2 linked regions of the Kluyveromyces lactis genome follow. The protein of the gene in region 1 interacts with the protein of each later gene in a pairwise test. Links are inferred from orthologs where the notes say so. Each region holds a gene or a part of one and is shown in the gene's direction. Other genes may lie near its edges. The genes, in order: PEA2 and BUD6.

Region 1 (3,012 bases):
CGATTAATTCGACACTATTTGTGTGTAAAAATTTATCTACTTCGTTTTGGCCAAATAGGAAACCTGCACCACGCGGGGAAAGAGACCAAGTATCCACATCCTCTGGATCCGACCACAATAAATCACACATAGCACCTTCATGCGGTACCTCCTTTTTCCTATCGATGGTTCGTATTTCGTTGATTGATAAAACGTCCGGCGATAATCCACCATGAACACAGAAAACCTTGTTGTTTACAATGGCACCCAAGGGCAAATAGTCGAATACTTCGCAACAGTATCTCCATACGTTACTGTTACCATATTTCCTTACCACTTCGTCGTAAAACCCATAAACCTTCGTAATCTGTCTTGTTTCATGATTTCCTCGTATCAACACAATTCTATCTGGATACCTTAATTTATAACATACCAAAAGAAGGAAACTCTCTAACGAATAGAACCCTCTATCCACGAAATCTCCCAAAAAGATGTATCTATTCTTTTCAATGCCTCCACTCTTAGCAAAGAGAGTCAACAAATCATGCAATTGGCCATGAATATCTCCACAAATTGTGACTGGCGTATCCACATGTGTCACGTTAGACTCATTCATAAGAAGTTCTTGAGCCATGACACACAGCGAGTATATCGAATCCTCGTCAACATGTTTCCCCTGCCTTAGAGTCTCTATAATCTCATCGAGTTTCATCATTGACAGATGCTCAGACGACGTTAAAGTTAAAACCAACTGGAAGTATAAAAGATAAAAAAAAGTGATTCCCTGTTCAAGAACTGACGATATTATTCTATAGTGATGAGTTTGGATCAAATCCAACAAAAACCTACCTTAAACTAATCTAACAAAGGTAAACTGAATAGTCATCATTAACAATATAGGCTTAAAAGCTTCTTTACTTTCTTATTTTCCAAAATTCGATGAGATAGACAAAATGCAAGTATCAAGAGAAATAAAAGTATCAAGTATCAAAAGAGGTAACAACAATTACATTTTTCGGTTAGCCTGAAAAGTCAACTTGTCGGTCTGCGCTTTCCGGTATGTCTACAGTATATAGCGTAGTGTGGAATGCTTGCCTGTGTTGTATATGGGAATTGTTCAGAATCTTGCTTCTTCTTCTTCTTCTCCTTCCATTGTTTCTTTTTTTTTGCCTGTACTCTTTTTTCACGTTTCTTTTTATCAGTTTGCTTCCTTTTTTGTGTTTCGGCCACAAAAACGATAATTTAACGTGACATGCGGGTAATGAGGTGTGCTTATGTAAGCCTTCGGAAGATGACACCCAGACATCGGAATGGCGGTATTCGTGCGTGGTGATGTCAAATATCACGTGGTTGATAATGTGCTTGTATTACCCGGAAACTGCATGTATGTCCCGTGCGTGGTAATTGAGAAAGGCATTGATCGGAATCAACGCGTCTGGATAGATGAACGGAATGTTAAAATGTAAGTTGCTACCAAACCAAGCTAGATACTGATCGCAGCTAGCCCCTTGATAGAATGCTTCGTAATAACCTGGACCAATGGTACGAGTACAATACCTCTTTTGTAGAGAAATTGCATGGGAAGTACCCCAATGAACAGTTGAATGAATATTTGCAAACTACGAGTACGAATTCCCTGATATCCAATAGACAAAATTCGGAGTGGGATGAGCTTCCAATGGATTTGGATTCCCAATTGAAATTGGAATTTGCATTGTACTTGATTAATGAATCTGCTAACGGTTCTCTAAGTACTAAGGGAACTACTTTCTTACAAAAGCTTGGCTCGGTAGACGTTGACACGTTGAAAGAATTAGTCCAATTGGTACTAGAGAATGATAAATCTTTAGCCAATAAAAGCACTGATGAGGATGAGGGGAAAGTGGAACAGATCACCTCCTACCTGATCTCTAGCTCCATTTCTAAAGGTATCAATTTGGCATCAATAGACAATTCTTCCAACGAGGAGGGTGTACATGATCCAATCTCATTTTGTAAGAAAAACATCGACATCCTGTTGGATGCATACCCACAGAATTCAAGCAGTTCTTTGCAACACGCGCCCCTTTCTACCTCAGAATTGGAACTTAACGATATCTCAAAACAACAGGACCTACAAACGGCTATCACGGATTTACAACTTGCATACAAGTTCTTGAAATCGAAATATGAAAATGATAGAGATGAATACCAGGCGACTATAGAAACTCTGAACAAGACTAACAAAGAGCTTTCTGAAGAGCTCTTACACTATCATAGTAAGTTGAAGGAGCGCGAGGAGAAATCGAAAGTCACTTCACAGATGCAATCAATTCCAATGGATATCGATAGATCCTTCTCACAAGCAATTTCCGAATCCAGTGACATCAAATCCTCAACATCTGCTTCTAACCATCAATCTTTCTCAATGATGAAGCAAGAATTTAAACGAATCTTAGCTGATACTCAGTTAAGATACGAAAAAGAACTAGAACAAGAACGCCTGTTGAGACAACAGTTGGAGAACAAGTTGGAAAATAAAGGATACCGCTAATCGTTTTATGTTGCCCTTAACGATCCAAAAATACTAGCATTAAACTTCAATATATTGTTGAAATGTAATTAACTTTGTAACATTATCTAAGACAGAATTCCTCATCCATTTCAAACTCAAGCTGGAAACCATTTACCGATGGCTATTAGTCGTTAAATTTGTGTATGAACTATATGATACATAGAGTAAGGTGCCAATAATAAAGACTTCTATTATAGCAGAATGGATATGAAAAGACAATAAGGAAGGAAAGATAGAAGGAACAAAGGGTTTTCTTGCAGAAGACGAGACAAAACCTCCGAGAATCGAATTAGTGCATTGTTTAATAAAATAAAAAAATGAATTTTTATAGTACCATCCAATAAAACATCATAGCTTCCTGAATTCACTCAACACAGGGTAGATAGCTTCAAACGCTTGATAGATTTCTTCTCTTTGTTTGGCACCAGTTAAGACAATCTTGCCGGAAACGAAAATTAGTAACACAATCTTAGGTTTCA
Region 2 (4,418 bases), on another chromosome or scaffold:
TTCTGAAAGGACTAACTTTATTCATCATGGATATTCTTTCTCGCCCGCGTGATCCTGTTATATTTCTAGCTCGTTTCTTACCATGACGCTGGATACCTGTACGTTTTGATTTATCTTTCAGGATTGTGGGTTTACTATCCAGACTTCTACGATTCTTCTGAGTCTTTGTTAGCATGAAATCTATTTCACTAGTAGAATCTTTAGCTATTGCAGATGAAGGTTCAATGCTCGAAGGTTCAAAGATTATTGTTTCCAACGCAGTCTTTTCATCATCATCTAGAGTAAGTAGTTCGATCCCCTGGCTTGTAATTTCAGTAATATCATCAGCTGAAGATGGTGGATTTGAATCTGAATCTGAATCTGGTTCTGGCTCATATTTCTGTAGAAAATATTCCTCTAGTTTTGAGTCTTCCATTGAATCTTGCTCATTCTGTAGCCGTAGATATGTTTCCGGGAATCCAACTTCAATTTCAGCATCCGATTCTATTAATTCGTTTACAAGGTTGTCGTCTCTGGAATTAAACGTTCTACGAGATATTTTTCTCTTGGCTAAACCTTTACTCCGTGAATTTTCATCGTAGTGGTTATTTTTATTTCTTCCTTGTCTATTACTTTCAACTGTATTGTTATCAAGTGCTTTCTTCCACGCCATTTTGGGTAATACACCTTTGTATCCTGTTCTGATATTGACTTGCCTTCCTCTAAAAACAACGTTATCATCATAGGATAAACTGGATCTATCAAACTGATTCGAGTCACTTTCCGAATGACACTCGTCACGAATTTCATCGCTGTCTAGTTCAGCATTACCATATACCTCATCATCATCATCATCATCTGAAATATGGAAATGGTGATGCCTTCGAAGCCTTGTTGACGCAATAGTCGAGTGTTCTTGCTGTGAAAGGCCGCCCTTCACAGGACTCGAATTGAGCACGCCCCCATTGTCCGTATTAACAGTAATATCTTGCCGGGAACCACTCGGCAGATTGATATGATCTGCTAGAGATTCGAAATTAGATACATCGTACCCTTGCAATAACTGCCGATGCCGTATTCTATCCAAACTATACGGCATCTTCTGGATTGCTTTACGCTTTCTCAATGCACGTCTTATACTATTAGAGTAAACTCCAATATCAGGAGGTGTCTGTGCTACGTTATCGAGACTGCCCGGAATGACGCGTACCTGGTATTCGTCATCGAAGATTGGAAATACATTTGGTTCCGAATGCAGAGGTATTACGATCTCTTCATCACTAGCCTCCGAATTGGGGACTACAGAGTCCTGATTCATCCCACAGAAACCACGCTATATGTCATACGCGGTAACACGTCTCTGTTGGTTGCTTAGCTTCTGAAATGGTAAGTTTCCATACTTTCCTGTTTCATTATCTCGGCCTAACTTCAGGAAATTACGTTTCTTGATATTTATCAACAAAAGATTTATGCAAACCAAATCAAACCTAAAGCTTTTTGATCTAGTAATGCTTTGAAGAAACATACCGTTTAAAAAGTGTACGTTGGATTTCCTAGCTAGTAGTTAGGTGTGTGGAAGCAGTAGGGTGAGGTACGTAAGGTGTGTCTGATAAAGATGGAAACACCACCACCAATTTCTAAATCAGCATCATCTGTGGAAACTAGTGTGACGAAACTATTGATTTCAACTAAACAACTATTACAAATTCTGACGCAATGGTCCAAGGGCAAAGTTACCGAGCGTAATGTTTCCGATGTGTATGTTCAATTGGGTAATGATTTCAAGTTAGTCAGTAGACATTTTACCCATGCTAGAATTGATATTTCGGATCTTGGCGATGTGCCAAAAGACCTTCGAAGAATATTGGAGGTGGCATTGAGAGAGACTGCATCTGAGGAAACGTTGAATAAATACCTACCGCAGATCAGAGATATTATAGTTAAACTCTTGGAGAAACTTAAGGTTAAACAGGCGATGATAAAACTGAGCAGGAATGAAGATGCTTTGAAATATCAGCATACTCCTCAAAGATCTTCCGTTTCATCCGTAGTCAGCGCAACGACATCTTTGGCTGGCGCGGGACCGACATCTACTTCAGCTCATATTGAAACAAAACAGATACCTACGTTAGAAGTTCCCAAGGGTTCTGAAAGCGATGCGTTAACTCAATTGAAAAAGGGAAATAATCTGCAAAGAAGAGCCTCGAAGAGGTTTTCAGCGTATCATATGGCGAAATTAGCCAACCAAACAGCTTCAGATCCATCGAATTCCCCAACGTCTAAAAATTTAGCAGTTCCAGCCGCTGCTGCAGCGGCAGCAGCGGCCAATGTTTCTGATACAGAAAGCATTAAAATGGAAAGACAGCCTTCTCGAATCTCTTCTGCTTCATCCGTAGATTATCATCCCATGACAGGAGCACCAGAACCAAAAGGTGATAACTCAAGCATAGATGAAATTGTTGTCTTTTTGAAGATCGGTGAGAAGGTGAAACGATGTGTAACTAGTTCTCACCTCTCTTTCAACAAGCTTAGACTTTTATTTGTTGAGAAATTTGCATATTCCCCAGGAGGTGATGTATTCCCTGACATATATGTGAAGGAACCCAAATACGAGGCATTTTACGAACTTGAAGAGAGTCACCTACATGGTATAATAGATGGGAGCGTATTCCAATTACAGGTACAATCATCGTCTCTAGATGAACAGTTCCGCCAACTTCAAGATGGTTTATTAGAAAAGCAAGATACAATTTTTCAAAATTTGAAAGAGATTATCCAAAATAGTACTCACGTATCGTCACCAGATTATTCAAGTGGTCCAAAATCCTCAGATTCTGCAACAGTTATACATGAGGATCATCGTAAAGAAGTTGCTCATATTAGGCACGAAATTACCGTTTTAAAACAGATACATAGCGACCAAAAGAGATCGCTTCAAAATACTATAAACGCTATCGTGGAAAAACTACAGAAATTCCAGAGCCTTTCAATAACTACAGGAAAGTCAGCTAATCGCGATTATATGGAAAAGTCCCAGTCGAAGTTATCCGAAGTTTCTGATAATCTTTTGAGTAAAGTTGACGATCTTCAAGATGTCATTGAGGCATTACGTAAAGATGTGGCCATTAGAGGTGCGAGAACACCCAAGAAGAAGATTGAAAATGTATCGTCTGAATTAGACTCCGCTAAGAAGGATTTGGATCAAATGAGAAATTATATAGATGTCGAAAAGCCAAATTGGAAAACTATTTGGGAAGCGGAATTAGATAGGGTGTGTGAAGAGCAACAGTTCATGACATTGCAAGAAGATCTCGTATTTGATTTACAAGAAGACTTGAATAAGGTTATGGAGACATTTGATTTGGTTAAATTGTGCTGCGAACAACAGGAAAAGGCCCCAAAGAAGAATAAGGGAAACCCCATTCTTCCGATAGCCAAGCCAGGCACATATAATATGATCCGCGATCAAGTCTTGACTGAAGTTCAGAATCTCAACCCAGATCATGACAGTAGAGTGGAAGCCATTAAAAAGGCAGAAAAACTAAGAAACAGAGAGAAAGAGTACAAGGAAAATGAAGCCTTTGAAGATGAGTTGGGCAATTTCGTTGAGAAAGGTAACTTCAAAAAGGCCGGTGGCATTGAGGAGATAGAACGCCTAAGAAAACAAAAAGACGAAGAAAATCTGCGTGTTAATTTTGGTCTGATATAGGTACAATAATTTTAAGTAATAGCATTAAAACTCTATTAATAGTTTCAAATCGCTGACATTTGTCAAAATGTCTGCAAATGCGTTCTTCCTTAATTTTAATTGTTCAAGGAAAACTGACAACACCAGTTCTTTTGACGCGACGGACTTTTCCATCGAGAACATATTAGCTGAAGAGAGGTTAAGATCAATTCGCTGAAAAATGTTGAAAACAAATTGTTTGAAAGATCTTCTGCTGCTTTTCTTCCTATTAAAAAGGACAATGAACGATTGAATTACATTTAACGCAACTTCTCTCAGGAACCTTGCAGCCGTTTCCCAAGAATTTAAGCGCTCGTCCAGCATATTATAAGATAGTCTCATCTCAAAGATCCAGAGTAATTTATTATACAGTTGCTTAGATGATCCCAAAACTGTTCCTAGGACATTATACGATGAGCGGTCTTTCCAAACTTCTAGGGTTCTTAGATTTAACTGCAGTGCACAAAAAGGTACATTTGTTGATGTTTCAGATTCTGATGAAGTAACCAAGACTTTTTGTGGGTTTATATAAGTATTGAAAGATTTGAATCCTGTTTGAGCCAGATTATTAAGCCGCTCGATGTATTTCTTGGAAGTTGAAACTATTAGAAAATCATCCACCAGCCGTATTATCATCGGATCTGAATCATTTTCATCAGTAAACTCGGTGTAGAATTCAAGTAGGTCGTCATACAATATATCAACAAGAACG

Evidence for each region.
Region 2: the proteins of PEA2 (region 1) and BUD6 interact in a two-hybrid assay, tested with the Saccharomyces cerevisiae proteins (5 studies listed by BioGRID, with this or other methods). The link is inferred for Kluyveromyces lactis from reciprocal best matches to the Saccharomyces cerevisiae genes PEA2 and BUD6.

Annotation. Positions count from the first base shown.
Region 1 is NC_006041.1:890,390-893,401, forward strand, and holds PEA2 (Pea2p), read left to right. Parts: upstream 1-1,495; coding exon 1,496-2,512; downstream 2,513-3,012. Other genes in the region: phosphoprotein phosphatase PP4 catalytic subunit PPH3, read right to left, coding at 1-694; SPT15 (TATA-binding protein), read right to left, coding at 2,882-3,012. UniProt on the Saccharomyces cerevisiae protein: Localized to sites of polarized growth and is required for efficient mating and bipolar budding.
Region 2 is NC_006039.1:1,621,153-1,625,570, forward strand, and holds BUD6 (formin-mediated actin nucleation enhancer), read left to right. Parts: upstream 1-1,594; coding exon 1,595-3,688; downstream 3,689-4,418. Other genes in the region: MMS22 (Mms22p), read right to left, coding at 1-1,297; EST2 (telomerase reverse transcriptase), read right to left, coding at 3,713-4,418.